4 linked regions of the Drosophila melanogaster genome follow. Changing the gene in region 1 together with any one later gene gives a genetic interaction. Each region holds a gene or a part of one and is shown in the gene's direction. Other genes may lie near its edges. The genes, in order: rl, tor, Nf1 and Gp93.

What was found.
Region 2: of rl (region 1) and tor, changing one suppresses a phenotype caused by changing the other (phenotypic suppression), as found in Drosophila melanogaster (2 studies listed by BioGRID).
Region 3: of rl (region 1) and Nf1, changing one suppresses a phenotype caused by changing the other (phenotypic suppression), as found in Drosophila melanogaster (one study listed by BioGRID).
Region 4: of rl (region 1) and Gp93, changing one enhances a phenotype caused by changing the other (phenotypic enhancement), as found in Drosophila melanogaster (one study listed by BioGRID).

The regions. Positions count from the first base shown.
Region 1 is NT_033778.4:1,068,859-1,076,022, forward strand, and holds the start of rl (rolled), read left to right. Parts: upstream 1-3,116; 5' UTR 3,117-3,187; exon of another isoform or gene 3,188-3,392; 5' UTR 3,393-3,423; coding exon 3,424-3,581; intron 3,582-5,413; exon of another isoform or gene 5,414-5,483; coding exon of another isoform or gene 5,484-5,506; intron 5,507-7,164. UniProt on the Drosophila melanogaster protein: Serine/threonine kinase which acts as an essential component of the MAP kinase signal transduction pathway to regulate proliferation, differentiation and effect cell fate decisions in various tissues.
Region 2 is NT_033778.4:7,703,851-7,712,223, reverse strand, and holds tor (torso), read left to right. Parts: upstream 1-3,039; 5' UTR 3,040-3,278; coding exon 3,279-3,431; intron 3,432-3,498; coding exon 3,499-3,729; intron 3,730-3,881; coding exon 3,882-4,119; intron 4,120-4,179; coding exon 4,180-4,262; intron 4,263-4,318; coding exon 4,319-4,487; intron 4,488-4,555; coding exon 4,556-4,861; intron 4,862-4,917; coding exon 4,918-5,253; intron 5,254-5,310; coding exon 5,311-5,482; intron 5,483-5,543; coding exon 5,544-6,042; intron 6,043-6,109; coding exon 6,110-6,204; intron 6,205-6,257; coding exon 6,258-6,380; intron 6,381-6,440; coding exon 6,441-6,578; intron 6,579-6,634; coding exon 6,635-6,808; intron 6,809-6,866; coding exon 6,867-6,921; 3' UTR 6,922-7,041; downstream 7,042-8,373. Other genes in the region: CG1941 (uncharacterized protein), read right to left, coding at 324-481, 548-747, 808-1,149, 1,244-1,375, 1,431-1,528, 1,580-1,708; CG34216 (uncharacterized protein), read left to right, coding at 7,287-8,297. UniProt on the Drosophila melanogaster protein: Probable receptor tyrosine kinase which is required for determination of anterior and posterior terminal structures in the embryo.
Region 3 is NT_033777.3:25,981,188-25,988,320, forward strand, and holds the start of Nf1 (neurofibromin 1), read left to right. Parts: upstream 1-1,825; 5' UTR 1,826-2,104; coding exon 2,105-2,161; intron 2,162-2,404; coding exon 2,405-2,548; intron 2,549-2,647; coding exon 2,648-3,032; intron 3,033-3,087; coding exon 3,088-3,229; intron 3,230-3,285; coding exon 3,286-3,879; intron 3,880-3,940; coding exon 3,941-4,262; intron 4,263-4,324; coding exon 4,325-4,877; intron 4,878-4,931; coding exon 4,932-5,469; intron 5,470-5,524; coding exon 5,525-7,116; intron 7,117-7,133. Other genes in the region: fid (fire dancer), read left to right, coding at 1-110.
Region 4 is NT_033777.3:27,945,639-27,953,847, forward strand, and holds Gp93 (glycoprotein 93), read left to right. Parts: upstream 1-3,072; 5' UTR 3,073-3,223; coding exon 3,224-3,263; intron 3,264-3,345; coding exon 3,346-3,435; intron 3,436-3,532; coding exon 3,533-3,615; intron 3,616-3,703; coding exon 3,704-4,956; intron 4,957-5,289; coding exon 5,290-6,187; 3' UTR 6,188-6,513; downstream 6,514-8,209. Other genes in the region: mfrn (mitoferrin), read right to left, coding at 1,556-1,672; CG4951 (uncharacterized protein), read right to left, coding at 6,603-6,776, 6,837-7,044, 7,119-7,286, 7,355-7,447, 7,506-7,703, 7,860-8,209.

The DNA.
Region 1 (7,164 bases):
GCAGCCCTTGAGGTACTTGGGCCATCGAAAGGAGCAATCGATGGCCTGCTCTTCTCCACCTTCTGCCTCTTAGTCGTTTCCGTCGGAGGCGTCAAGGTCGAGTTTGCCCGCTTCGAAGCAGAGTTGGGCCTTTGCTCTAGCGGCTGCGGTGTCTTGGCCAAAAACAAAGCTTCCGCAGGTGACTTGCCCTGCTGAAGGTAACTTAGATACCACTTCGTTCTGGCCCTGCACAGCGCCTTACGGTTAGGGCCATCCCGGGCCAGCTCCAGCCAAACTACGATTAGCCAGCACTCTTAGCAGAGACATGACCTAACTAAGAGCCTGTTTAGAGTCGCCCTCGCCTGGAGAATGTAGTTGCACTTCCAGCAGTGTATCACAATTACGGCGCGTACCACCAGGTGGTTGATACCCTTGTGATACCTACTGGCATGGCATTCTAGAATCATATGGTTTGTAATGTAATTTTTTTCTTGCCTGGCAAGAAGAAGATAGCGATGTCGAAGGTATGGTCACACATAAGCGAATTAAAATTGGGCAATCGACTATTTGGAATTATTTTGATAAATCGGCTGATGGCAGTGGACTTTTTTCAAAAGTGTAGGCATGGCAGCTTTGTGCGGCGTTTGAGCGGTCGTGGCAACATGGGTCAACAAACTTGCGCTGCGTCTATTGGCATAAGTATAACTCTATGTCTCTCGAATCTGAACCTTCTAGCTTTAATAGTTCCCTTATATGGTCGGAAACGCTTCCTTCTGCCCGATACATACTTTTTAACGAGCCTAGTATACTAATACTAATATATATATAAGAAGCTAACTGACTATTGTGCGCTTGGGATATCACTTTTGATACTAATTCAGTGAGTATACATAGTTTTAATGCATACTTATCATTATTGGTTTTTATTCGCATTAACGTTTGCTAATAAATCCTAGTAATCCAGGCACATACATTTTTCAGAGTTCAAGTAAGCGAAAAAAACCTTCCAGACTTACAGCTGCTTTTTCATCTTCGTTTAACGCGATAAAGAATCCGGAACAGCGTTTAAAGTACCCTTACGATGTCCAATTTTAAAACGATATTTTTGAAATGTCAACGACCATCGAGCAAATCGTGAGCAACATCGGCGAGACATGATCAGTTAAAATCTCTGAAATTTCGCATAGCTGCTATCGCCACCAAACATTTCTGCTCAGTCACAGAACACACTAGTCGGCACTACACACACTGTTGGCAGTAAAATTTTAAAATGACTTAATATGATAATAATGATTATTTTTTATTTGTTGGGTGTAAGTAATATAAACATAAAAATTAACAAACGATATAGACAAGTTAATGTAATATGATTATTTTTTGTATTGGCATAAGTATTTTGACAAGCCTTTAATACCTAAATAAATAAGTTTAAGTGAAGCTGCAGCTTTTTTTAACGAGTTATTCTCGAAAGAACTTACATCTGTCCATAAAACACTTTTCCAGAACGAAATTAGTGAACCGGGGTTAGAGTTTTCTTAAAAGTTTGCATCTCTATATTCCAAAGCGTTTGAAACTAACAAACACAAACTGTAATTTACAAAGTTAAGTTAAGAAATTCGACAGGGACAGATGATCAACCGAAGTTGGACGCTTACTGTGTTCCTCCATATAATTTTACCTCACCATTACTTAATTTAAGAATGTCTTCATTTTTGAAAATAATTGTGTCCAAGGGTAAACCAAAGTTCTTAAGCATTGTTTTCCCTGACAATTAAAATTGAACAAAAGAAAAATGATAAAGGAAATTAAAGTTGAAATTTTTAAAGTAAAGATATATTTGAATTTATTTATGAGTCTTAATAAGTTCTTTCTGTGCTCTCTAAGTCCATTCACGTTGGACCCACTTCTTCTTTAATAGATAATACAAATGAATTATATCAAAATCACTGGTTCCTGCGCAACTTATTGCGCCAACAACGGCAACGACTGACGTCTGGACTGCGGCAGCGCCGACCAAACACAAGTTTTGCAGTCTGACGGCTGTTAAACAAAATCCCAAAACTCCATACACAAACTAAACTAAACTATATACTAAAACTAGACATCAACTGAGTTGGGCATTTTAAACAATGTGCTAGCTTTGCAGTCGCTCTTTGCGGTGCTACACTTGTACCCGCTCCGTCATGCGAGTTAAACTGAAATGTATTCTAAGAATGAAATAAATTGTTAATAAGGAAAAGGTCATGTTATAAAATAAACCTACATTAATTAAAAAAATTAAACCTACACTTATACCTAAAACCATGGTATTTCATTAATTCATAAAATAAATAGCTGTCATAGACATATTTTTCACGATTTCTGTAAACTTATATACTTGGCGTACGTAGCATTTACTTCGGATATCACCTTAAGAGTAACAAATATATTTAAGTACATTCGGATTTTTTAATGTAAAAATATAAAGTTTTTGACATCTGATAGTATTTTGTTTAAAAAGAATGTTCGATCATCAATCATCCTCCGTTGCAACACTGCTGAATTTTCTGTAGTGGGCAAACTACATTTAGTTAGCTGTACATTTGTATATGCTTCTGAGTAGTGAGCTGTTAAGAAATTTTATTATAATATAATAAAAAAGCAATTAAAGGATTTGTTTTCTCTTAATTAAACATTTAATTTCTGCTTTCGTGTTAATATGTATATTCTACATTGGTTTGTAGTCACGTCTTAATGGTGGGAACAGTACTTTTAGTTCCGTTTACGCTGAATTTACATCTGTTAGGTCACACAGCAGAAGATGGCACATGCCTGCTTTCTTGTTTTATTTTAATGGGCAATAATAGCTTAAATTAGGAATATAACACTAAGTCAAAAGGTTTTTATTTCTGCGCTCCCATTGAAAAATGTCCAAAAATATATTTAACCCAACATCAGGTTAATATGTGATGATCAATTTCCTCCTTTAATACCAATTTTTAAATAAAAAAATGTCTTACGCAATGACTGATCATTTTTAAATTATTATATTATTTAATATTAATTGTGGAAATTGTGGCTGCCAAAAGACTGATGTACCTTTTGGGATCCGATTATAATTGGATCGGATAAACATTGACCAGTGTCGTTATCTTAACATATTATTAATGTTTTACGCCGTCGATTTTGATAAATCATATTTACGCATTTGTCTAAAGAGTAAAAAAAAGTTGAGTTTATATATTCATATCTTAAGTTATAGACTTTTGGTTAAATTCATAATAAAGTAAATAAAGATTTTGCACTTATTGCTGTTCACTTAAATAAGATAAAGTGGGACATATTCAGTTGTAAAAGTGTTATTACAATCCACGCATACATACATTGCGAATTTTGCAGATACGGTGTATTTTGTATCATAACATCTTTAGTAGTATTTCAAGTTTTCCAGAAGAAACGTTAGTCATGGAGGAATTTAATTCGAGCGGATCAGTAGTTAATGGTACAGGATCTACGGAAGTTCCTCAATCTAATGCTGAAGTTATAAGGGGACAAATATTTGAAGTTGGTCCTAGGTATATTAAACTCGCCTATATAGGTGAAGGAGCTTATGGCATGGTTGTGTAAGTACCTAATACCTATTTTTATTTTTGAAGCCGTTTTTAATCTACAGTGTTTGCACACCTCTTTCTTGTTGTTCCTTTGTCCATTATTCATAGTTTTTTTTTTATCTTGCGGTTCTCCTTCCGAAATGCAGTAATACTCAGAACCGTGTTCTCTTGATTTTATATCAAGTAATACATTTTGTTCAAGTCCTTTGCTGTAAGTTCGCATACATGGTATTGCTGAATCAATGTTATTTTTCGAAAATGCATTAAATTTATTCACATCAATCATACGCAGTACTAAGCTGTGAAACACTTAACAACGAAATAGTTTCTCAAATTTTTGATTTCTTTCTTTTTCTCTAAACGTGGCTTAGTTTTGCTTTTTCTTTGACAAAATCAATCTTTAAGGGTCGACACAACCGAGTTTGTTTTCATGCAAAAGCCTAAATTGGCCGATGGACTTTATAAATAAAGGAAAGTCAATAGCTTCTGAGTCATATTGCTTGCTTTTAAACGCTGCGCACAAAACTTTCGTTTACCGGTCGATCGGTTGTTCAACGCAATACAATTTCTCGCTAAACTTGGATTTGCTTGTTAAAGTACTCTTTTACTCGGTGCCTTTATACCTTTTTCTAATGCTTTTGGACATAATTAGGGATTATTCATTCATTCATTAAAAGTAAATTTGGAACCTACATTTTCAAAAATAAAAAATCAACACATTTTTTAAAAGTTGCAGTTGCAGTTTTGGGCGGAGAGTGGGCATGGCAACATTTCATTTTTCAGTATTTAAAAATAAAAAATATTTAGTTGAATTATTTTGTTATATTCTTATAAAATATTTAAAAAGCGGACATTTTGTTTTTTTTTTTAGTTTCTTTTAATTTTAAATTATAGTTTTATGTTTTTTGATTAGGTTGGAGTTTTGAGGTGGGTAGCAAATGGGGTTGATTGACTGAAGAGAGCATATTTTGGGGAGGGGTCAGTTCATGTAGTGGGCATTGGTAAGGTTGGTGTGTCCAAGCCTGAGCCTTTTTATTAGGATTTGTGTTTTCTTATTGTGTTATGTAGTGTTGTAGCTTGAAGGATGAGCTCATACCAGGGAAAATTGAGAAAAGTCGTCACAGTTGTAATTTGAGGAGTGTACAAGGGCGTATCTGTGGGCATCTTTAGCTGTTTTGTCGGCGTATTCGTTGGCGGATATGCCGATGTGAGTGGGCATCCATATAAGTTAAATAATTGGGAAGTGGTTGGTGAGAGGGTTTCTTATTGTGGATAGATATTATGAGATGTTGATTGGTATTGGTATTGGTGAGGAAATTTAGGGCGGACAGGAATTCGAAGCCCGGCGGCTAAATTTAATTTTGCTGGCGTTGCTTGTTACGCTATAGCTTATTATTTAATTGGATATCGAGCCATATGTGTGGCTGCATAGTTGCAAACCAATGTATGGCCGTTACGCATCTTGTTATTCTAGTGTCTTTGATATAACATTGGTTGCTGATTTTAGTGTTCTTCTGGACCTTAAACTAAAGTTTTTCAGATCATATTTCGACTATTGTCAATAAGGCAGGGGTGTGCTTGGTTTAATAAAAAGGAGGTCAAAGGAATTAAATGATCATTACAGCACCAAAACCTTATTCATTTCGCTAGTCCGTTCGATTCTTGAGTATACGTACCTCAATCGGATCGCATTGAATCGGTCCAAAAAAGTTCTTCTTTTAAGTTTATAGCTATTTGGCTGTACAAAGGAATACTTAAATATATTCCTTATTTGTCGCTGTTCTGCTATAAAAAATCGGAATTCACCACCATATCCTATTATTTGTTCTAATTTATTTTAACAGAATGTGCATAAATCCTTAATGACGAACATTTCTTGGACCTAATCCATCTTGGGACTGTTGGAGAACATCTATGGAGTCTGCCTTAGTTATTAGGTCTTCCATAGCGATATCATTCCTAATTATTTTACATGCGTATTTTACTAGATTCGTTGAAATGTATGTGACAGGCAGAAGAAAGCGTTTCCGACCACATAAAGTATATATATTCTTTATCAGGATTAATATCACACCAATTGTTTTCTTTGCAATTTTTTTTGCCTTTCTTTTCTTTCTTATCTTTGTTTTCCACACCAGAGTTATTTGTAATTTCTTTAACTACATAGCACAAAAGTTATTACTCTTTGCATGCCACTTAAATTATGAGTGATTTTGTAAATAATTCCTACTAAGCCCTAAAAATTGTCCCAGGGTCCTGTTTAACGAAATTCATTTCTGCGACGACGTTGTATTATTATAAATGTTTATTTTAAAATAATATTTCGCGAAATATGTGAGTGTAATATTAAACTTAAATGAGTTTACAAAAGTTTGTGGTGGTTCCCTGTGTTGATCTCAACACCGACTGGACACATTAATTGTATTGATCTCCATGCTCTCTTTTTTCACGCTCTCTTGTGGCGTTATTAATAACATGGTTTACTATACATTCATTTACTATATTCATTAAGCGTTTCAAATCATAATGTATTTCTAATGAACCCGCTGCTTCTTTTTTTTTCTTGTCCACTTTCTTATAGCAATCCAAGGCTTTCGCCTGTTGAAAATTTGTTCCAATGCTTATTAGTTCATATATGCTAAAAATCAAACTACTAAATCATATAGCAGAACATAAAGTTATTATATTATAGATGTTTTTATTCAAATAGTGTTCTAATTCGGTAAGCTACAGCATTTTGATAATATTTAACTTTATTTTTGCTTCGATAAAAATTGGACGGTAACATAGCTCAAAGAAGCTGGGGTCGGAAAAATCGAATTTTTAAAATTTGAAAGCTGGAATCGTTTGCCCATTTTTGCCCATGTTTGCCCACCAATTAGTTTTTTTGCCCACGTCCAGTTTTTGAGATATAAATTTTCGAAAAAGTTCGAAAATGTTCGAAAATCAAAAATTTCGTTTTTTTCAAATTTTTTTTTTAAATCGCAATAACATCGTTTGACCACGTTTGCCCACCCTTTAGAATTTTGAAAAAATGTATACTTTAGAAAATATAAGGCTTTTAAGTTTACCTCGGTCTAATCAGAGAGTAAATCGTTTGCCCATCTCTTAAAACCAAATATTATCAACAAAAAACGTTTGCCCAACCATTATTATTAGTTTTTATCGTTTGCCCACCCTTTAAAAAACCTTTAACAAAAATTTTTTTCGATTGCCCACATTTAAAATACACCCAATTTCGTTAGCCCACCTCTTTAAAATAAAAATTTCCAATAAAAAACGTTTGCCCACCATTTAAAAATAAATAATTTCGATTGCCCACCTTTTAAAACTAAATAATTTCGTTTGCCCATCCTTTGAAATTCATTTTTAACGTTTGCCCACCCTTTAAAAATAAATTATTTCGTTTGCCCACCCTTTAAAATTTGTTTTTTTCGTTTGCCCACTCTTAAAACTAAATAATTTCGATTGCCCACCTTTTAAAACTAAATAATTTCGTTTGCCCATCCTTTAAAATTCATTTTTAACGTTTGCCCACCCTTTAAAAATAAATTATTTCGTTTGCCCACCCTTTAAAATTTGTTTTTTTCGTTTG
Region 2 (8,373 bases), 6.6 Mb from region 1:
AAATGATAATGCTGTTATTACTACATTTGGTATATTCTGCGCTCATTGTTATGTTTTTTCCCTATATATCAATTAATAAATCATAGTTATTCATTTTAAATTGAACGCCAACTTCTACTGATCGTTGATCAACACTGTTTGCCGTCTTATCGATAAATAATTGCTATCAATAGCGATAGCTGCTTATTCAAAGTTTCGATCACTACCCGTCGTTTTAAAAAGCTTGTATGGCAATTTTATTTGCCTGATAAAATTCGTAATTTTTATATTAAATGCTTATAAAGCACTCATTTGATCACATTGTTTAGACAATAACTTCTCGACTAGTGTATAATCAGCTTGTCCTGCTTGGAGTTCGGTATGTACTGATCCTTGTACTTGGCGAACATCTTCTCCAGGTCGTCAATAACCTGTTTGTGTATCTTATCCACATAGGCTGCGTCTGGTTGATCGCTCTGAACCACGTCGATGGGAGCGCCAACTGAAATTTTTTAAAGTTTATTTGAATCTTACAACTATGCGACATTTGAATGAGCTGAGGACTCACCAACTTGGACAATGCGTCGACGGTTGGGCAGAAAGCCAAAGGAGTAGTTGAAGATGCCCCGGCCAACGGGAATCAGCGGAGATATCCCCGTTATCCTCTTTACAAAGTCTTGAAAGCGACGAACCCGAGAGTTCGGTGGATTGGCAACCTGATCCAGAATGTCCACCTCGCCAAAGGAAAACGTGGGAACAATCGAAGACCTAAAATGAAGACCGGATACAATTAAAAATAACTTTTAGTTGTATCCGATTTCAACCTACCCTGTCCTAATGGCCATTTTAACGAATCCCTTGCGGTTCTTCAGTGTCAATATATATTTGCCAGGGTGCGAGTCTAGTGCCTCCTGGGCACCACCCACCAGAATAGCCACCGCGTTGGAGGTGAACCCATCACGATTGTCCTTGTGCTTGGGATCGTTTGATTTGGTTAGCAGATATACTAAGGCCTCCTTGGAAACCGACACCAGGCCCCAAGATCTCAGGAGACCACGCACGATGGGCGTCAGGAAGTTTTGATCCAAAGTGGCCACCTTGGGCCTCACCTGTGGGAACAGTTGCAGCCACTTGGAGATGTCTAGACCCATATTAATGGAAATGCCAGTCCTATCAGGGTTACAATATGTGCGTAAGAAGGTATACAAATGTTTCGTCACCTAAGCAACCATCGATAAGATTGACTATCAGTCAACAAGCTTACCCCAAAATTCCGTGCGGAAAACTGGCCAAAATGTAGTTCTTATTCGGCGGCAGCTCTGCGGTCTTGACCAGCTGTACGGGAAAGTAGTCCCGATAATGCCGAAACAGCCAATTGTTGCGGTTAATTTTCCAGCTAAAATGGATTATTTTAGCTTTAAGTGTTCTTATAGGGACTTCATGACGCCTACCCATTGCCATCCATAATGGAGTGGGTTCTCTTGTGATTCGCGTAGACGTAGACCAAATAGATGACCATAATGGTGCGCCACAAAAGGCTTCCATAGAACTGGAAGGGAATGCTTTACTTTTCAAAATATTGAAGCACTGATGTATTTACCAGCACGGCAGCAACGAAGAAATAGGATCCAAAGGAGAGTATCATAAAGGATAGGATTAGGAAGGCCATGGCAAACGTCTGGCGACGCCGTTCCATGGGAACTCCTTTGGGAGCCCACTCGATTTTCATGATGTCAGAGCTCTCGAACTCGGAAAGTTGAACTACTTGGTAGCACGGTCCTCCGGCGACTGAAAAATGGAAATGTTCAATGTTTAGTTACCATTTCTTATCCTTATCAGTATCCGTCGGTGGCGCGAGTGCGTGGCTATTGGTTAGAGTTGTTAAAAAAATACCTTCGATTTAATGGCTATTCGCTTGGGGTGTTTAAAAATTCGAGCAATCAAGATAATGACTTGCTCTATATGGACGTCTGGCTAGAATGCCGATATGATATTATATGATATGATCTTATCATTGCCAACAACAGCCGGCTTTAACGTTTGTCCGATACTTGTGATCACATATATATAATTATTGTTTTGAAATTTCAATTGCAACTGGTTTGAATGCCTTTAGAAAGAGAACGAAACTGCTGTTGCACGACAACCTCCTCACTTTAATTGAATGGTGATAAAACTAACTGGGAGTTACTCGTATTGCTTTTGATCCGATCCGCTTTGGCCTAGTATCACAGGCTAATTATTTTAAACTTGTAGAGCTTTAATAAACTAGACGCTCCCATAGAAATTTATTATTAATGTTTACACACGTAATGGATCGTTATCGCGTTTGAGCAGCAGAACCGACGATGCGAGCGTACAACATTTAACTAAACTTGCGAGTGGCACTGAATGCTCGAGTTTCCCATGTGAGTGTTTCGAGTACTCGAATGCGATGCAACAATTGAGTCACCAATGTAATCGAGCGTTCTATACGAATAACCTGAATCAGAGGCAACTGAGGTCATGTGCATTTGCAAGTCGCTATAAGGAAATACCTGTATTGTCAGCTCTGTTCCAATTGAAATGGAATCAGGGAAAGTGTGATCACGCAAAAGCTACAATGTGGGCGAAATTAGCATAGTTGTTTTTTGGTTAATTTCGAATATTGGCGCCCAACATGGTTTCTAGGGATGGAAGCGACCAGCACTGCATTCTGATTTATCGGTTTGCTGCAATACAAGCTCTTTTGGCGCAACAGATCATAGAAGATTGAAATACAAACGTTGTTGGTGGTATCACAAATGAAAATTGCGAAGAGTTATCTGAAGTCAATGTTCTATGCTTATCCCAAGCCCTGGCGCTACTATGACGGAGTAGCGATCCAAATTTTTGCATTTCAAATGACCCCTAGTCCAATCCCATCCATACGATCAAGTACAATACGATGCAGTGAAGAGGTGAAAAACAAATCAAAACAAAATAGCGCAAAATATATTCAACGAGTCCGCCGCTTCTCATCATTCCTCCTTCTTCGTCGCTTTTTTACCATCGCATTTTTGGCCTCAGTTTCTCAGTTCTTTCTCAGTTCAGCAAGATAATCCGAGAAGGACGGATGGTATTGATCTCGAAAGTTGGAATCTAGAAACTAAGTATTCGAATTTGCTGTGTGTGTTATTGAGTTTTGTATCAAAGTGCGTGGTGGCAAAAGTGCAATAAACTTTAAGTCGGTTTTAAACAAATACACATTTCATTCCAACACACACACACCGACACACAACGAAGAACTAAAGAAGGGTTTCAAAAGCAGAACAAGGAAAATGCTTATTTTCTACGCGAAGTACGCATTTATCTTCTGGTTTTTCGTGGGAAGCAATCAAGGTGAAATGTTGCTAATGGACAAAATCTCTCACGATAAGACGCTTCTCAACGTCACCGCTTGCACCCAGAATTGTCTGGAAAAGGGCCAGATGGTATGTTTACACCCTTAGAATGTTGGAACACTCCATAACCAAAAGTGCATGCTTCTTTTCTCGACAGGATTTCCGAAGCTGTTTAAAGGACTGCAGGATTAATGGAACATTTCCCGGGGCTCTGCGCAAGGTGCAGGAAAACTACCAGATGAACATGATCTGCCGCACGGAGTCGGAAATCGTTTTCCAAATAGATTGGGTGCAGCACAGCAGGGGAACCGAGCCGGCTCCAAATGCCACCTACATAATCCGGGTGGATGCTGTCAAGGACGACAACAAAGAAACTGCGCTTTACCTGGTCAGATATTAGATGTAAACTCATTACTATTTACTTTAAAATACCATTTTATTTGATGAATTTCTAGAAAAAGATGTACTATGTAGTCATCAAGACCTAATGTTTCGTTTTACAAGTGGATCGCTCTTTTTCATCGACTTATTCGCTTGCAGTCTGATGACAACTTTCTCATCCTGCCGGGATTGGAGTCCAACTCTACCCACAACATCACCGCCCTGGCGATGCACGGAGATGGCAGCTACTCCTTGATAGCAAAGGACCAGACCTTCGCCACCCTCATCCGAGGCTATCAGCCCAGCAAAATGGGAGCGGTGAATCTGCTGCGGTTTGTCCCCCAACCAGACGACCTGCATCACATTGCTGCCGAAATCGAGTGGAAGCCATCGGCGGGTAAGTAGCTCCATCAGTTTAATCAATCAACGATCTACGAACCCTACTTTCATATTCCAGAGAGCAACTGCTATTTCGACATGGTGTCGTATTCAACCAACAGCGTGAATATGGACGAGCCACTGGAGGTGCAGTTCCGGGATGTGAGTATGCCATGACGCCCCTGCAATGCTAGAGCATAGCTAATCTTTTACTGCAGCGCAAAAAGCTGTACAGGCACACGGTGGACAACTTGGAGTTTGACAAACAGTATCACGTTGGCGTAAGAACGGTGAACATAATGAATCGACTGGAGAGCGATCTGCAGTGGCTGCCAATCGCTGTTCCAAGCTGCTTGGATTGGTATCCCTATAACTACACACTCTGCCGTAGGTTCCTCGAAAGTCCTATATAATAATAATATTAATAATAATAATATTGTTCCACCCTTTCATAGCACCCCATAAGCCAGAGAATCTTACTGTGACCCAGAAGCAGTATCTGCCAAATATTTTGGCCCTGAACATCACCTGGGCGCGTCCCAGATACCTGCCGGATAACTATACACTTCACATCTTTGATCTATTCAAAGGAGGTACGGAGCTAAACTATACACTTGACCAAAACAGGAGCCACTTCTATGTACCCAAGATCACGGTACTGGGTTCCCATTTCGAAGTACATTTGGTGGCCCAGTCGGCAGGCGGAAAAAACGTATCCGGTTTGACGTTGGACAAGGTTCATCGAGGTGTGTTGCTGAGCGGTACGTACGCTGAAGGAAATTAAATATTTAGACATCCATTTCCATCCATTGAACAGAGGGCAACATGGTCAAGTTGGTACTCTTTATTATCGTGCCCATATGCTGCATTTTGATGCTGTGCTCCCTGACGTTCTGCAGACGAAATCGTTCGGAGGTTCAGGCGCTGCAAATGGACGCTAAGGACGCGAAGGCCAGTGAATTTCATCTCTCCCTGATGGACAGCAGTGGCCTGCTGGTCACCCTCTCGGCCAACGAGAGTCTGGAAGTAATGGACGAGCTGGAGGTGGAGCCACACTCGGTGCTCCTTCAGGATGTCCTCGGCGAAGGAGCCTTTGGCTTGGTGCGACGTGGAGTTTACAAGAAACGCCAAGTGGCCGTCAAGTTGCTGAAAGGTTGTACCATTTGGTATTGAAGTTCTTGAATAATTCATGGAATTTTTGTTCTCACAGATGAACCAAACGACGAGGACGTATATGCGTTCAAGTGCGAAATTCAGATGCTCAAGGCCGTGGGCAAGCATCCAAATATTGTGGGTATCGTGGGATACTCCACTCGTTTTAGCAACCAGATGATGTTGCTAATTGAATACTGCAGCCTTGGAAGCCTGCAGAACTTTTTACGGTAAGTTATTTTTATACATATTGGAAAACAAGTGATGTATAGTAAAAAATGTATTACTTAGTGAGGAGTGGAAGTTCAGGCAGGAGCAAAATGCAATTGGACTTAAGAAGAACCTTGAACAGAACGTGGACAACCGACGGTTTAACCGACTCCCTAGAAATTCCATCCATGATCGCATAGAGGATATCAACAACTCGATGCTGTCCACTGTGGAAGAGGAGAGTGAATCGGATCAGACACACTCAAGTCGATGTGAGACCTACACCCTCACTCGAATAACCAATGCAGCCGACAACAAGGGCTATGGCCTGGAGGACATTGAAAACATCGGTGGGAGTTACATTCCCAAAACCGCTGAAGCTCCAAAGGATCGGCCAAAACGGAAGCTGAAGCCGCAGCCCAAGAAAGACTCGAAGCAGGATTTCAAATCGGACAACAAGAAGCGAATCTTTGAGAACAAGGAATACTTTGATTGCCTCGACTCATCGGATACCAAGCCCCGAATACCACTGAAATATGCAGATTTGCTAGACATCGCCCAACAGGTGGCGGTGGGAATGGTAGCCTACATCTACTCTATCCCTAAATGTAATTAAAAAGTGTAGCATGTATCATTTGCCATTTTAGGAATTTCTGGCCCAAAACAAAGTAGTGCATAGGGATCTGGCTGCCCGGAATGTTCTAATCTCCGTAGATCGCAGCATCAAGATAGCAGATTTTGGGTGGGTATCTCTGAAAGTTCAATGATTAGTTATATTGTGTTTTTTTTTTTAAGGCTGAGTCGAGATGTGTATCATGAGAACGTGTACCGAAAGTCCGGAGGAAGTGGCAAGCTGCCCATCAAGTGGCTCGCGCTGGAGTCCCTCACCCACCAGGTGTACACCAGTCAGAGCGATGTGTAAGTATATATTTTTGTTAAGTCCGAAGCGATTTTGTGGCTGATATCTTACCCTCTTAGTTGGTCCTTTGGTGTGCTGCTCTATGAGATCACCACTCTCGGTGGAATGCCATATCCGTCGGTGTCTCCCAGTGATCTCTTGCAGCTACTGCGACAAGGTCATCGGATGAAGCGACCGGAGGGATGTACGCAAGAAATGTGGGTATCAGTGCTTAGCGAAGTACATAATTGTTGATCACATTTGCTTAACTCAGGTTTTCCCTGATGGAAAGCTGCTGGAGCTCCGTGCCATCACACAGGCCAACATTTTCCGCCCTTAAACACAGACTTGGTGGCATGATTTTGGCCACTAACGATGTTCCAGAAAGGCTGAAACAACTGCAAGCTGCAACCGAGTCAAAATTAAAGTCATGTGACGGTCTAAACAGGTAAGTAATCTTTAAAAAGACAATTGTATACGTTACTTTCTTACCTTTTACAATTTAGTAAAGTGGAGCAAGTGCCATGCGAGGAAGAGCTATACCTAGAACCTTTGAATTAATAGTCATTGCTTCAAGATTATAATGAACGAGTGCAATACATTCTAAATTCGAGTTCCAATTCAGACAATGCTATGCGCCAGATAACCTTGCATAGCAATAAACATTAAAGCTAGCCTAAGAAAAATTTAATTTCTTTTTTATAAGAAAAACCAAGATATTTATAGAGTAAACTTCTAGCAGTGCCCTTTATGTCTCATAGAAACCGACCATTTCAAAATGTTTGTGCCTCCTTGCGGCTTAGGTTTCGAAAGAAGGTCGTTTATTTGGACCCCAATCAGCATCATTTTTGAAAATTCCAAATTGAAAGTCGGTCCAAGCTGGCTTGTTTACAGTGTTTCAATTCTACTTCTGGCCACCTCGATCGATGTGCATCCACTGCTGTCGCCTCCGCCGGACACCATGTCCACCGATTCCCTACAGCTGTCCACACTGCCCGGTGCGCACCATCTCCAGCTGCTGTCCACTGGGCAGTCGGCCCCTCGCCGAGAATCCTTTCATAAGAGGTCCGGATCGGGAGCCAACCCCCGATCCCTGCGACACCTTGCCACCGCGCTGGCTGGACCTCAATCGACGGGTCATATTTGCCTTGGCAAAAAGATTATGTCGATCTCCAGAGGCAGCTCATTATATTTTGCTTCGCCTGTTGTATGCCAACTATAGAAAAGTGATGATGATATCCAGAAAACGAAGGAGATACAAGGTGCCACTAAGTGGGTTTCCCGATCAGGATTTGTTCTCCGCCAGCGCACATTTCGATAGCAATGGTTACCTCTCCGATCCCATGGCTCCCGAAACTCTGGGAAAGCTACTCCACATGATGCAGGACTACATCCTTCGGCTGAGAGCGCTGAATCGCAAGTACAAGTGGTGTGGCAACGGCGAGGACTTTGGAGATGTATTGCTCCTATTGGGAGAGCAAGACGAACTGGTACGATTGTTAAGAGATCTCTTTGGAGACAGCGATGTTGTGTCCATTCCAAAGCTCCTGAGCGCCCTTAGCGAGCTGGAAATCAATAATTTATACGGAAAGTACAAGAAGAAAACAGTTCCCTTTATGGTGAGAAGTATATCTGATCTCTACTCCGAAGTGACGGAACCAAAGAGTCCAGTTTTGATATCATTAGCGCACATAGCCAACAAAGGAGTTTCCCCTTATGGACCGAGCCACTTGAAAAACATCTTGAATTTCAGTCCAAAGTCCTTGCCTATGATGGGTAAACACCCACCGCCTAAAAGAAGTAAAAGTGAAAAATGCATTCCAACATCAAAAACGAATTTAACCCAAGCAGTACAAAATACCCAAAAAAAATCGAATTTCAAGGAACCAGCAGACAGTACTGGGATTTTAAGTCCAACTTCCAAGAACTTACAATAAGATATCACAGCAAAGCCACTTCAACCAAACCAAAGGAACCTTCTATGAACCCTTTGACGCCCAGAAGAACTCCATC
Region 3 (7,133 bases), on another chromosome or scaffold:
TGGACGCACTGATCAACCACCATGTGGCCAGCCTGCACATCGTTAGCTCCTACTACGAGCGGGCCAGCTGGTGTGTGGTGGCCGAGAAGGTTCAGGTGTGGACCATCTAAGCACCCAACTCTCAAACGGGGATTCGAAACGAAACTTAAGTTTATTTGCTATTACTGGGACCGAAGCATGTATACCAAATATTTAAAGGATATACGTTAAATTACTTTGAATTACATTTTTTTATACGCATCTAATACATTTTAAGTTGCTCTACAAAAACACTTGAATATCTTTTTAGGACATTCAAAATCCAAGCAGCTTTTTTGATTTTTTCAAGGCGTACCCGTTTACCCGTTTGAATCCCTGATCTAAAACAAATGCCCATTTCCTAGCTGTAGTCTCTGATCTGATGCCCCCAAAGGAATTGTTAAATTTAGTCTATTACTCTAGTCGGCTGGCGGTGCGGGGCGGGGAAGGCCCGTCCTGCTATCCAGCACTAATTTATTGTTAGCAGGCCTGCTCAAGGACGCGAACGCAGGATTGCACTGCATTGAAATCCAATTTCAAAGGAAAACTTAGCTGTAAGAACGAAACCAATCGAATCGAATGCGATAACGAAACAACGCAAGCTAAATACAAATCTTACTAGTTATACGAGCATATTCTATTTACAACGATCATCTGTTTGTATCTTGCGCTATCTGCAGACTAAGTTTCAAGCACTTTATGCTATAATTTCGAAGCGAATAATCATCAAACGTCCATTGCAGCCAACATATACCACTTATACAAGAGAAAATCAAGATACCAGTTAAGCAGCTAGAACAAAGTAATATAGCAACTATGTACGTGCATGTATACACTCCTTAAAACTGCAAAGTTAATAGAACCCTCTAAAAATATCAATAACTGCATTTAAATCTATGAGAAAACCGTACATATATCGAATGCAAAGTAAAATCAAAAATATATACACAAAACAGTTTAAGAAACTCTTTCCGCAAGCTCACAATTTTCCACATATATAAATTTTTCACCTTTTTAAAGCACTTTTTTATTTACTTTAATTGATTGGATAAAGTACCCAACTCACTTCCCAAAAACGGCCAATAAGACGATTGTAACATAAGCCTATGCCTAAACTCAAATTTTTGTCAGCTTAAGAAGGGTTATTTGAAAAATAACGCAAACATTTTCAATAAAACCAAATATATACATATATATACCTATATGCGACTGTACATGTGTTTTTTAGCTAGCTAAACTAACTTTATACCGTAAAATAATAGAACAATTGAATAAATATTAACTAACGTTGGACGCAACACTAAATTACAACAGATAGAACTCGATTTGAACCTATTACTGCTCGAAATGCTGAAACATTATAAACATTAAGTATTGCTGGAAAATATGTATAATTTGCACAGAGCCAAACAGGCACACTCAAACGGAATTAACTCAAAACCCAAGCTACAAAACCATCTGAAATATTTAATATTGATAATTTGTAATGCATTAACAACAACATTAAATAAACTAATAATACTTACTGAACTGAATCTGTTTTAAAAATCATTTATATTTCTAATTGGAACACTTAGACCATATAAAATAATAGCATCAAATGAGATAGAACGAAATGAAGGCCAAATATTTTTGGAATTTTTAAACGCTCCTGTGAGCGCGCGCATTTACTTGTGGCTTATGGTCACCCTAATGAATTCAGTACTAGTTGGTCTGATGCCATCACTATTTGAAAATAAGCGATATATCGATAGGATGTAATTGTTATCACTTATAAAAGCGTTTCGGTATTGTGAAAGAAATGGAAGGCGGTACACACACAATATAAACATCCAAATAACAGCCTGTAAGCCCTTAGAAAATTCCCATAAAAAAAGAAACAGTGCCCGTTTTGTAAAGCCAAACCATCCAAATTGTTGGAAGAGAAGGAAGTGAACGTCTCAGGAACTGAAAAAAACACCAAGGATAACGAACAAAGATGCCACTCAACCAATTGCCACTCCCCAAGCTCAACGAAAAGCTGCCCTATTTAGTTGCTGAAATGCAGTAAAAAACGCATAAACAACTGTTAAAACACCACAACAAGATGACCCAGAAGCCAGGCGAGTGGGCTAGCGCCCTTTTGGCACGTTTCGAGGATCAGGCAAGTGTTTTCCAATCGCTTTTCCGCAGTTGCGTTTTCGCAAGCGAAAAAATGTACCTGCTGCTCTGCCTCTTCCTCCCCCACACATGCTCACAGCGACCTTGCGAGTGTGCGTGCCTCACCCGCTCTGTCAGTGTGAGCTCTCAATCAAATGCGTGGGAGAGCGAGATAGCAACAATAACAAAAACACCGGTTCCCGCATGAATGAAGTGGAATTGAGCAATCAATGGTTTACTTTTTCAGCTGCCAAACAGAATCGGTGCCTATGGCACGCAGGCCAGGATGAGCCAGGACCAATTGGTGGCCTGTCTGATCCACATATCGCGCTACCGCTTCTCCCTTGTCATATCCGGTCTCACCAAGATGCTGCAGAGGGTCAATGAGGCGGTAAGTACTCCATTCTCTATTGTTAACCCTTAAACTATGTTGCCTTATTTTATGGGGCTAGGATACGATTAAATTACTTAAACAAAAATTTCATTGCAGGCCCTTCAAAATCGCCATGAGCCAGAGCGTTGCTACTTTGAGTCGCTGGTCATCATACTGACCACTCTGGAACGCTGTCTGACCAACCAGACCAAGGACACAGCACGTTTTGAAGAGGCCATGAATGTGAAGCTTCTGCTGCGCGAGATCTCCCAGTTTGTCGACGTCCAGAGCGACAGCAATCCGAATGCCGCCCAGCTCAAGGCCCTGGCATCCAAGGTGCTCTTTGCCTTGTCCCAGAATCACTTCTCGGCGGTGTTCAATCGCATATCGGCCAGGATTCAAGAGCTGACATCCTGTTCCGAGGAAAACCCGGACTACAACGACATAGAATTAATTCAACACATCGATATGGATATGATAAAGCTAACCAAGCTGCTACAAGGTAAACTAACTTTTTTAATATTTCGGAAAGGTTAAACAACGTTTTACGTTTCCAGAAACCATCACAAAGTTTCGATCGAAGCGTGCTCCACCTTTGATCTTGCTTTACTCGCTGGAGAAGGCTATTTGGAACTGGATCGAGTACCATCCACAAGAGTTCCAGGACTTGCAACGAGGAACCAATCGAGATATATCAACGTAAGAGGAATTACAAGCGTTTTTAAAGTCACATTAATTGATCCTGTTTCGTTTAGCTGCTGGGAACCCCTGATGGACTTTGTAGAGTACTTTAAAACCGAAAACAAGAAAAGCAAGACTCTTGTTTGGCCGCTTCAAATGCTCTTGCTGATATTGAATCCCTCTTGCCTTGAGGCTGTTGTTAACGAACTTCAGCAGTCGGAGAAAGAGAAGGAAAAGGACAAGGAAAAGGTTGCCTCGAAGTCAGCGCAATCCACGTCCCGGGACAAGGACTTCTCGGCCAAGCAGTTCATCGAGAGTATCAAGAGAGGCTTGGGCCAGCACTCACCATCCAAACAGGTGACCGAATCTGCGGCAATTGCCTGTGTAAAGCTGTGCAAAGCATCCACCTACATCAACAACACCGACTCCAATAATGTGGTCTTCAAGTTGGTGCAATTCTTTATCAACGATCTCAAGGCACTGCTCTTTAATCCAGCAAAGCCCTTTTCGCGCGGTCAGGGGTACAACTTCGCTGATATCGAGCTGATGATTGACTGCTGGGTGTCTTGTTTCCGGATTAATCCTCACAACATCGAGGCTCTAAAGGTTTGCCTGAATTTGTCCTCGCCGCAGGCTTACCATTTTGTAATTGTGTGCTCTCTGCTAAGGTAATTTACTTGGGTAGCTATATAAAACTCTTGACTTTTACATGTATACTTTCCATTATAGGTTGGCTCACATATACGTTGACTTCCGTTTGCAGAACAAGAACCCCTTTCGAATAGTAAACCAACCGAGATTGTCTTGGTGGCCGCAAACGGATGTGGTTCACTACCGTTCTGCTGAGCTACGAGCTTTGTTTACGGATACGCTCAACAAGGCCACCCAGGGTTATATAGCCCATACGCCACTGCGCTACATAACCTCCCTGACGCTCAAATCTAAAGATACCCAGAAAGGTTTAACCCGCGCTGAAGAGGGTCCCGCCCACAAAATGCTATTACTGCTACTCGTACGGCTAATTCATGCAGATCCCACGCTTTTGTTGAATGTGAGTTATTTGATAATTTGATCGATAATAGTCTCATATTTAACAATTGTTTTGTAATATAGACCCAAGGAAAAGTGGCACATGAAGTGCAGAGCTCCACATTGGAGCTCATCAACGGCTTAGTTAGTTTGGTGCATCAAACTACCATGCCCGATGTGGCACAAGAGGCTATGGAGGCGCTGCTTGCTCTGCACGCCCCGGAGAAAATAGAGGTTTGGAATCCAGAGGCTCCGATCAATACGTTCTGGGACGTTAGCTCCCAAGTACTGTTTTCAATCTCGCAAAAGCTCATTCAACACCAAATTGCCAATTACACTGATGTCTTAAAGTGGCTACGCGAGATCCTCATCTGTCGGAATACTTTTCTTCAGCGACACAAGGATTATGCACATGTGGGAAGTCAGATTGCCATTTGCAAGCAGGCTCACATTAAGATGGAAGTTGTTTTCTTCATGTACCTGTGGAGTGTTGATTTAGATGCGGTGCTGACATCGCTATCGTGTTTTGGACTACTATGCGAGGAGGCTGAGATTTGCTGCAGTTCTGATGAATTGACAGTCGGATTTATTATGCCGAATTACCACATTTACCAGGAGCTGGCTCAGTTGTCCACATGTGAGTTTGGTAAATTCATCATACATATTTTTATTAATAATAATTTCGTTTTAGCTGCAACGGACTCTCGCATTTGCTTTTTTGACAACACGCACGGCAATGTGCTGAGCCGTCTTACACTTCAAAAGCGCATAATGACCCTATTGCGCAAGATCGAGCACTGTGTTCATGGTGTTCAGCCCGCCTGGGAGGAAACCTTCCGCAACTGGGAAGTATCCAGCAAGGTTTTGCAAACGTACCCCAAATGTAAAGGAGAAGATGGCCAAGCGGAGGTTTTCCATCGTGGCATGGGCAAGCGGCGAGCGAGTCACCAAAGCTCAGAGCACGATTTGGAGGAACAAATTAATGAATGGGCCAATATGACATGGTTTCTATTAGCCTTGGGTGGCGTCTGCCTTCATAAACGTAGCAGCAGTCGTCAAATGCTGCTGCAGCAATCACAGAACAATGCTTCTTTGGGATCACTTGCTCAAAACTCTCTTTACTCAAGCTCCACAAGTTCTGGACATGGCTCTCTGCATCCTAGCACGGTTTCACTATCCACTCTTCCCCCAGCACCGCCACAAGATGTCAGCTATTGTCCTGTAACACAGTAAGGTTTTATTTATTTTAACATGTCCCATATATAACCTATAACTTTAATTTAGATTCGTGGGCCAACTATTGCGCCTGTTAGTTTGCAGCAACGAAAAAATTGGACTTAATATTCAGAAAAATGTGAAGGAACTGGTGGGCGAGGAGATGTCCACCCAACTGTATCCTATACTCTTCGACCAGGTTAGAGCCATCGTGGAGAAGTTCTTCGATCAGCAAGGTCAGGTGAACGTCAATGTGACCGACATCAACACGCAGTTTATCGAGCACACCATCTACATAATGAAATCAATTCTGGATCCCAAAGCCAACAAGGATCCCAACAACGATCAACCCTCGCCATCGGAACATTTAGGTGTTACAAGCATCGAAGGCATGATGCTAGGAATAGTGCGCTACGTTCGCCACCTGGATATGACTGTTTATGCCATTCGAATCAAGACAAAATTGTGCCAGCTTGTGGAAGTAATGATGAAGCGACGCGACGACCTCGCCTTTCGCCAGGAGATGAAGTTCCGGAATAAACTGGTTGAATACTTGACCGACTGGGTGATGGGCACCTCCCATCAGATTGCACCGCCCAGCTCGGCGGATGCCGCTATTCTTACCAACACATCCCTCATATTTCGCGATCTAGACCAAGCCTGCATGGAGGCAGTGGCTGCCTTGCTTCGGGGCCTTCCCCTTCAGCCTGAGGAATCGGATCGAGGCGATTTGATGGATGCAAAGAGTGCGCTCTTTTTAAAGTACTTTACCCTATTTATGAACCTGCTGAATGATTGCATCGATAGCTCCGAGGCGGAGAAGGAAATGAATAATACCCCACTATTGCCTCCGCGCCCTCGAATGGCAGCTGGAAAACTGACCGCTCTGCGAAATGCCACTATTCTAGCCATGTCTAATTTGTTGGGTGCCAACATTGACTCTGGTTTGATGCACTCCATCGATCTGGGTTATAATCCTGATTTGCAAACGCGTGCCGCTTTCATGGAGGTGTTGACTCAAATCCTGCAACAAGGCACCGAATTCGATACCTTGGCCGAAACTGTTTTAGCTGATCGATTTGAGCAACTGGTCCAACTTGTTACAATGATCAGCGACAAAGGAGAACTTCCCATAGCAATGGCTTTGGCTAATGTGGTGACTACATCCCAAATGGACGAGCTGGCTAGGGTTCTGGTCACCCTATTCGACGCCAAACACCTGTTATCGCCACTCCTATGGAATATGTTTTATCGCGAGGTGGAGGTCTCAGACTGCATGCAGACACTTTTCCGTGGAAATTCTTTGGGCAGCAAAATCATGGCCTTTTGCTTTAAAATATACGGCGCGAGCTATCTCCAAATGCTACTAGAGCCTTTAATTCGTCCGCTTCTGGATGAGGAGGAGGAGACCTGTTTTGAGGTGGATCCAGCTCGTCTGGATCCAACAGAAGATATTGAACAGCACAGGAACAACTTGATTGCCCTAACGCAGAAGGTGTTTGACGCTATTATCAACTCGTCGGATCGCTTTCCCCCGCAGCTGCGATCCATGTGCCATTGCCTGTACCAAGTGCTAAGCAAACGCTTCCCGAATCTTCTTCAAAACAATATCGGTGCTGTAGGCACAGTCATCTTCTTGCGGTTCATCAATCCCGCCATAGGTAAGATTATAGAAAAA
Region 4 (8,209 bases), on another chromosome or scaffold:
TTCGCTTACTGACATTGCCAAGACCTTAGAACGTGCTCTCATCATGATTTGTGATTCAGAACTGATGGGGTGATGATTTCCGAAACTATTTCAATCTGGCTGTCGGCGAGAATCTAATTGTGCAATGTGGCAGCCGAAAAGGGAAATAATTGTTCAGAATATGCATAGATCTCATCAAAAGAAAGTTTTTCGAATTTTGTTCGTCCCATAATTGTCGAGATAAGGGCTATATAATCTGTAAACAACAGCAGGGACTAATAATTGATATCAGTGGAATATACAAATATATAATTGCATGCTTCCCGGCAAAACTTTCGCTGATTTACGAGCCAGTCACTCGGAGCCTAGAGATTTGCATTTGCCTACGTATTTAATGATTGCATATGCACATACATATATATATATATGTATGTATATATATATATATCTGTTCATACTTAATTGTACTTATTTAAAGGCGTGCCTGTCGAGCACACAAGTCGGAATTATATCTGGGAGCAGAGAGCAGCATCCATATTGTAAATTACGAAGGCCTTGGCTTTGCGATGCAGATAAGATTCACTGGAACACGGCCCAACTGCATTTATCTATCTGCCGGCTGGCTGCTGCTATCAATAACAAGTCAACAATGCCATCCAAGGTGAAAAGTAGCCCCTCGAGTGGGGGAAATCTAATTAAAGGGTTCTCTGCGACGAACTGATAGAAGTTTCCATTGCATAAAAGCCCGATAGAGCTGCGTTCGAAGAGATCGCGGAGCCAACATGATTCATTCATCCCGATGGTGTATTGTGTGTGTGCCGTGATAAGAGAACCCGGTGATAGGTAATTATTGCAAGCAAGCGGCCTCAATTGGTGTCCAATTTGGTTTTCCGCTCTCTGGCTTTTAAAACTTCACGAATTTTAGCTCGTCAAACGGACTGTGTCCAGAATCTAGATTATAACGATGACGCCGGGAATACCGACCAGGCTTTAGACTGGCAACCAACTGCCTGCCGGCTGTCACTTGCGCGATTGACACATGTGGCCACGAAAATCAATAAGTGCTCGAGCCACCAGCCAGCTGAGTGAAATACAACGAAACAAGAATCGGTCAATAATAGGTATTGAATGCGTGGTGTACATATGTACATATTTACATATAACCATATACATATGTGTATATACTTGCGGCGAACGTCATTACGAGGTGGGCATTTGCATACGCTTAAGTGGCGGACTTGTGCACTTGGTTGGCCCTACCGAATTTTCAGAAGAACGATGAGAACGCTCCGCCGATAAGAGCTAGTCCAATTACTATGGCTAATCTTATCGCGGAAGCATAAACCAATGGAACGTGCTACGATAAGCGTTCAGAGCGGCTATATGTGGCTATACCACCCAGAGCTCTTAATGAGAAACGCAACTCTTGGTTGCACTCGAGACGTGGGCAATTACATCACGATTATGCCAAAGCAGCGGCGGCACACACAAAATTCCGATTGATAGTGAGGTTAGGTCGTGTTATGTTCATGCCGCTGCTCCTCCGATTACCAGGCGGCCATGCAGTCTCTCTCACCTTGACGGAGTCCAGCGGATACATGACCACATGCTCCAGCACGCCCGCAATTGCGCCCGCCGTCATATTGACACCCACACTGGTGGTGGGCAGCGATTCGTAGTCGTCGATGTTCATGGTGGATCCGAACGGTTGCCGTCGCTTTCGATTGTTGAGGCTGCTGGTGGGGCTGCACTATCGACTGTGTTGTGTGCTAATGCTGTGGTTGCGCCCTTGCAGTCGCTGCTCCTCTTACGACAACCTGCTAATCCGGACCAGTTCTGCCAAGTCGCTGTTGCAGTTGCTGCTGCAGAGCCGCTTTCTCCGCTGGGATCGGGTCGCTCCGCCTGTCGAGGATCGGCGTTGGTTAGCGGGCAACTCTTGGCCGGCGTATGTCGGGCACTTTTGGTGCAATTTTGTTGTATAACACGGATAACACGACGATTCACGGACGCACGGGCGGGTGTATTTCGGGGGGTGGTGCTGCTGGCGGAGGCGGCGGCGGTGGCGGTGGTGGTGCAGAGTGTACGCGTGAGGTGGTCTTATGCGAAACTGCTAATTGACACTGCTGTTGCACGACTAGCATACAGACGACATAGAGACGATTCCCCGATTCAACGATTCACGCGAGGAAGCAATTTCTGGTTTAGTTGCTCGCGGCTAAGCTGCTGCTGCTGGAGTGGCGGCTGCGGATCGGTTGTTTTATGAATATATAAGAGTCGGTTTGTGGCCGAAGCGGAATTTTGGCTGGGTCGGTGTTTGGCAACTGACGCAAATGTTGTATGATTACAGCGAATCATTAAATTTCGCCCAATAAACAAGCCTCGTGCCCAGAGTGACCGCAGCGGGAACGTCGCAAAATACCAAAATGGCTCGGGTGAAAATACCAGCACAAGTCCACCCACATGTGGGTGCGGAACCTTAACGCCATGGCAAATAAAAATACCAACATTAAAATATTTAACTTAACATTGTAAAATAAACCGAACGGTACAAAATCATATGTTATATATTCTAAAACGAAATGGATTTCCTTGATCTCTGTCAGGAATTTATATTTTATTTCAATTCATATTTTTATCATTACTTTGCTATATCAATAAGTTCTCAGTTATCTATTTTGGCAGCTTAAAAATTGTATATACACGAAGTTGTTGTGCAACCGACCGAAGAATTTATTATTTTAAAGCTTAGTTGTTGTATACATGAAAAGATACTAATTTGTTTCAAATATAAATCATATATCTACCGGCCTAAGTGTTCCCTTTTGTAAACTATTGATATAAGAATGTAAATTATCAAATTAAATATATTTAACAGTAGAGTTTTGACACTACATCCTCTTGTAAACTAAATCCCAAATAGATTCTATGAATGTATGGGCTTTCAAATAAGCAAACATTAAATTTATTTAAATTACACTATTTTCGTGCTCTGTGCTGTATATATATCCTATTTCCAGTGCAGCCCCTGGTATTTCCTTCCAATGCGCTTAGAATGTTCCAGCGCCGGAATACGGTCACTCTGCGAGGCATTTAAAGGCCTTCCAGCCGCTTGTCGGCGTCAGTAAAAAAAAATCAAAGCAGGCGACGCAAGTGCGGACTAATTTATTGCATCTGTTATTCGTGACGTGGCCTTTCGCCGGACGAACCGATAGCTCGAGCTCCGTAAATCAAGCTACCAAAGATCATGAAGTACTTTTTGCTGGTGGGCCTGCTGCTCCTAGCAGGTAAGTGTGCACATTTGCCACGCCGCATTGAACCGGTGTTTTAACCTAATTATTAATTGGCGTCTGATTCGCGTCTGATTAGGCATCAATCAAATAGCCGCCGATGACGAGGCCGCCACAACGGAGACCATCGACCTTGATCTGGGCTCCTTCAAGGAGGGCTCCCGCACCGGTACGTAGACACGCCCCCCTCTCGCGACGACGAGTTTTGTTTGGTACACGTCAGCGTTGCGATAACCGCCCCCTTTTTCTAATTCCCAATCCCCCAGATGCCGAGACCCTGAAGCGCGAGGAGGAGGCCATCCAGCTGGACGGCCTGAACGTGGCGCAGCTGAAGGAAATTCGCGAGAAGGTGGGTTCATTGCCAGGTCATTTGGAAGGTACACGTATGACCGGGATTTCCTTTCCCTTTTTTCTTTGTCTTTTGTCTGTGCGTGCAGGCGAAGAAGTTTACTTTCCAAACGGAGGTCAACCGCATGATGAAGCTGATTATCAACTCGCTTTACCGCAACAAGGAGATCTTCCTGCGTGAATTGATATCCAACGCCTCCGATGCCATCGACAAGATCCGCCTATTGGCTCTGTCCAACAGCAAGGAGCTGGAAACGAATCCGGAGCTGCACATCCGCATTAAGGCCGACAAGGAGAACAAGGCGTTGCACATCATGGACTCGGGTATCGGCATGACTCACCAGGATCTGATCAATAACCTGGGTACAATTGCCAAGTCCGGCACTGCCGATTTTCTGGCCAAGATGCAGGATCCCAGCAAGTCGGAGGGACTCGATATGAACGACATGATTGGACAGTTCGGTGTGGGCTTTTACTCCGCTTTCTTGGTCGCCGATCGTGTAGTGGTGACCACCAAGCACAACGACGACAAACAGTACATCTGGGAGTCGGATGCCAACAGCTTCAGCATCACCGAGGATCCCCGTGGCGATACTCTGAAGCGAGGATCCGTGATCTCGCTGTATCTGAAGGAAGAAGCCCAGGACTTCCTGGAGGAGGACACCGTGCGCGAGCTCATCCGCAAGTACTCGCAGTTCATCAACTTCCCCATCCGCATGTGGTCCAGCAAGACCGTCGAGGAGGAGGTGCCCGTGGAGGAGGAGGCCAAGCCCGAGAAGAGCGAGGATGACGTGGAGGATGAGGACGCCAAGGTCGAGGAGGCCGAAGATGAGAAGCCCAAGACCAAAAAGGTTTCGAAGACCACCTGGGACTGGACCCTGATCAACGACAGCAAGCCCATCTGGACGCGCAAGCCCGCCGAAGTGACCGAGGATGAGTACACTAGCTTCTACAAGAGCCTGACCAAGGACTCCAGCGAGCCCCTGACCCAGACGCACTTCATCGCCGAGGGCGAGGTGACCTTCAAGAGTTTGCTCTACGTGCCCAAGGTGCAGCCATCGGAGTCCTTCAACCGCTACGGCACCAAGTCCGACAACATTAAGCTGTACGTGCGCCGTGTTTTCATCACCGACGAGTTCAACGACATGATGCCCAACTACCTGAGCTTCATTCGTGGCGTCGTCGACTCCGACGATCTGCCCCTGAACGTTTCCCGCGAAACTCTGCAGCAGCACAAGCTCATCAAGGTGATCAAGAAGAAGCTGGTCCGCAAGGTTCTCGATATGCTGAAGAAGATCGACAAGGAGGCGTATGAGAAGTTCTGGAAGGAGTTCTCCACCAAGTAAGTGTCGCTTTCTAGGAATTAAGAAACGTTCTTTGCCTGTTCAAATAATTAGTTATTTATGATAAGCATTTCCGCAGAATCCATTATAATATGGAGAATAGAATGACGTGTATTATTTTTTGCCAACAAATTAATATATTTAGTTTGTTGCTTTAAAGAATTCCGCGCTGATAAGATAAGGAAATCCACGTAGTATTATAATATTGGCACTGGTGACGTGTAGAGTTTATACTTAAATATTTTATTTTAGTTAAATAAGCATTTCCATTAGCTATAACCTCGAATTCTTGGATTTTCGTTGCTTATCAAGACTTAATTGACTCATTTCAGCATCAAATTGGGCGTGATGGAGGATCCCAGCAACCGATCGCGTCTCGCCAAGCTGCTCCGCTTCCAGACCTCCAACGGCAAGGGCGTCACCTCGCTGGCGGAGTACAAGGAGCGCATGAAGGCCAAGCAGGAGCACATCTACTACATCGCTGGTGCCAACCGCGCTGAGGTCGAGAAGTCGCCGTTCGTCGAGCGTCTGCTGAGCAAGGGATACGAGGTGCTGTATCTGGTGGAGGCCGTCGACGAGTACTGCATCTCCGCGCTGCCCGAGTTCGATGGCAAGAAGTTCCAGAACGTGGCCAAGGAGGGATTCCAGCTGAACGAGTCCGAGAAGAGCAAGAAGAACTTCGAGTCGCTAAAGAGCACCTTCGAGCCGCTGGTCAAGTGGCTGAACGATGTGGCACTCAAGGATCAGATCTCCAAGGCCCAGGTTTCCGAGCGTCTGAGCAACTCGCCATGCGCCCTCGTGGCCGGCGTCTTCGGCTGGACCGGCAACATGGAGCGTCTGGCCATGTCCAACGCCCACCAGAAGTCCGACGATCCTCAGCGCACCTACTACCTCAACCAGAAGAAAACGCTCGAGATCAATCCCAGGCATCCGCTGATGCGCGAGCTGCTGCGCCGCGTGGAGGCCGACGAGGCCGATGACACCGCCAAGGACATGGCTGTGATGATGTTCCGCACCGCCACCCTGCGGTCTGGATACATGCTCCAGGAGACTTCGCAGTTCGCCGACAGTATTGAGCAGATGATGCGCCAGACCTTGGGTGTCTCCCAAGACGAGCAGGTGGAGTTCGACGAGGAGGAGGAGGATGATGCCGAGGAGACCGCCACCGGCAGCCAGGAGAGCGGCAACGCCGATGATGAGGAGGAGGAGCAGCAGCACGACGAGCTGTAAACTACTTCACCTCACCCACTGTCCAAATAGATTGTACATAAGAGTGTGAAGTTCAGACTGAGTTTTAAACCGCCACCGGGTGGCCGGGCGGGCACTCCATCAACATTACACGCTAGATTCTAAGTAAAATAATTTCGTAGTCCTTCGCCCACGCCGTCATCACCGCCAGTCGCCCAGAGAGCACTCCACCATTTCAGCCAGCACACTTGGTTGCTCAAGCGTTTTCTTTTTTCGAAAGCAAGTGAATTATGTATTTATACAATGTAATATGCTTAGTACACAACAGATTCCAATCAAAACAAATAAAGACAAATGAATTTAAAACTAAAACAACTGCCTATTTAATATGGCGCGCAATGTAAAATTTCCGCAATCGGATACCAAAAAATAGTTAAAAAGTGAATTGATTGCTCGATCAGTCAAGATCGGAACTCAGCGGCTCATCGTTCAGGGCCCTCAAGTAGGTGTTGTACTTCATCTGGTCGCGGATCTGCTGCACGGCCTCCGATTGGGACAGCGTGTATGTGTCCATAAAGAGGCGCACTATCCACAGCGGGAGCAGTCCGTTCACCAGCAGCGACGTGTGGTTCTGGTAATCGGGACATGTTAGGATGGATATGTGTGTCACTCCAGGACGCCCCAAACTTACGCTTCGACTGCTGTAGACCTCGCCCAGTTTCTTGAGCATCTGCTGGTGAATGCTCTTGCTCAGTATGTCGATGACGTCCATGTGGGCAATGTTCATGTAGTGACTGGTGCGCGGCTTGAACTCGCGCTCCTTGAACAGCTTATCGAAGTCGCTGCGATAGTTTTCGAACGTATTCAGCACCTCGTCCTCGCCCATTTTTTCCAAGAGTCTGAGCCAATCAAAAGAACGCAAGTTGAAGGCACATTCGTGTTCGCTTTATTTGCATCTAGTCGAGTCACTTACAAAATCTTAACCTCGCGCGGCTTGGGCGTGTCCAGCATGCTGTCCAGCCGCTGCAATGCATTGAACCGCCCTCCGTCCATGTGTTCCACCTTGAAATCTTTGGCCGGCACTGGCGATACTCGTTTCACTTTGGGCTTGGGTCCTCTGCTCTTGCCGCTCCTGGTCTCGCTGAAAATGGCAGCCAGGGAAATGATGAATGAAACTGATCGCTATAGCACCATATTTCTATGGCTTACCCAACTACGAAGTTTTTGAATCGACTCGGGCGTATGGGCGATCGGCCGGAGCGGCGTGCAGGCTTGGCCTCAACGGAGCTGGATCTGGAATTCCTGCGAATAGATCAATAGGCTCTTAGTTCTCTCACATCCTAGCCTTCGCCTAACTCACTGCTGTGATGGACTGTGCGATCGCTTAATGCGGTTGCTCTGCTGCGAGGAACTGGGGCTGCTGGAAGAAGCCTTATCCTTTTCGCCTCCTTGGGAAATGGACCTGCGCTCGCTCTTGATCTTGGTTGGTTGGCTGGCCGTGGTGGAGCTCTTGTCATCCTCGTTGTCGGCGTCAATGTGCTTGGGCTTCGATTGTGTGCTGGAGGGGAAACATGCAGTGGAGAAAACATTAAAATGCATTCAACTTCGGTACATAAAATGTGAAAGGTGCAAAGGTGGTTCATAGCTATTGGGATCAAAAACCACACAATCCAAGCCTATGGAGTATTTGGGACTAATTAATAGGGTTTCCTACCCCGCTTTTGGCTTGGATCCTGAGTTTGCTACGCGGATCTTGCGGGATGTGGGTCTGGTGCCATTTGTTTCTGCTTCCGTGGCAAGCTCGCGCTTGGCGGGAATGACGTCCACAATGGTGGTGTCCTCTTGTGTTATGTACTGCAGCTGTAGGTCCAGGCAGAGATCCTTGGAGCTGGACTCCGTACCGGCCAGAAGAGCGACCGTTGCAGGATGCGACTTATTGGTCGCCTGGACGCGCACGATGATGTGATCGATAATGAGCTCGGTGTCCAGTTGGTAGGCATCCTGCCACTGCTTCAGGTTCTCGAACAGGCGCCATAGACCACACTCAATCCGGCTCCACCGATC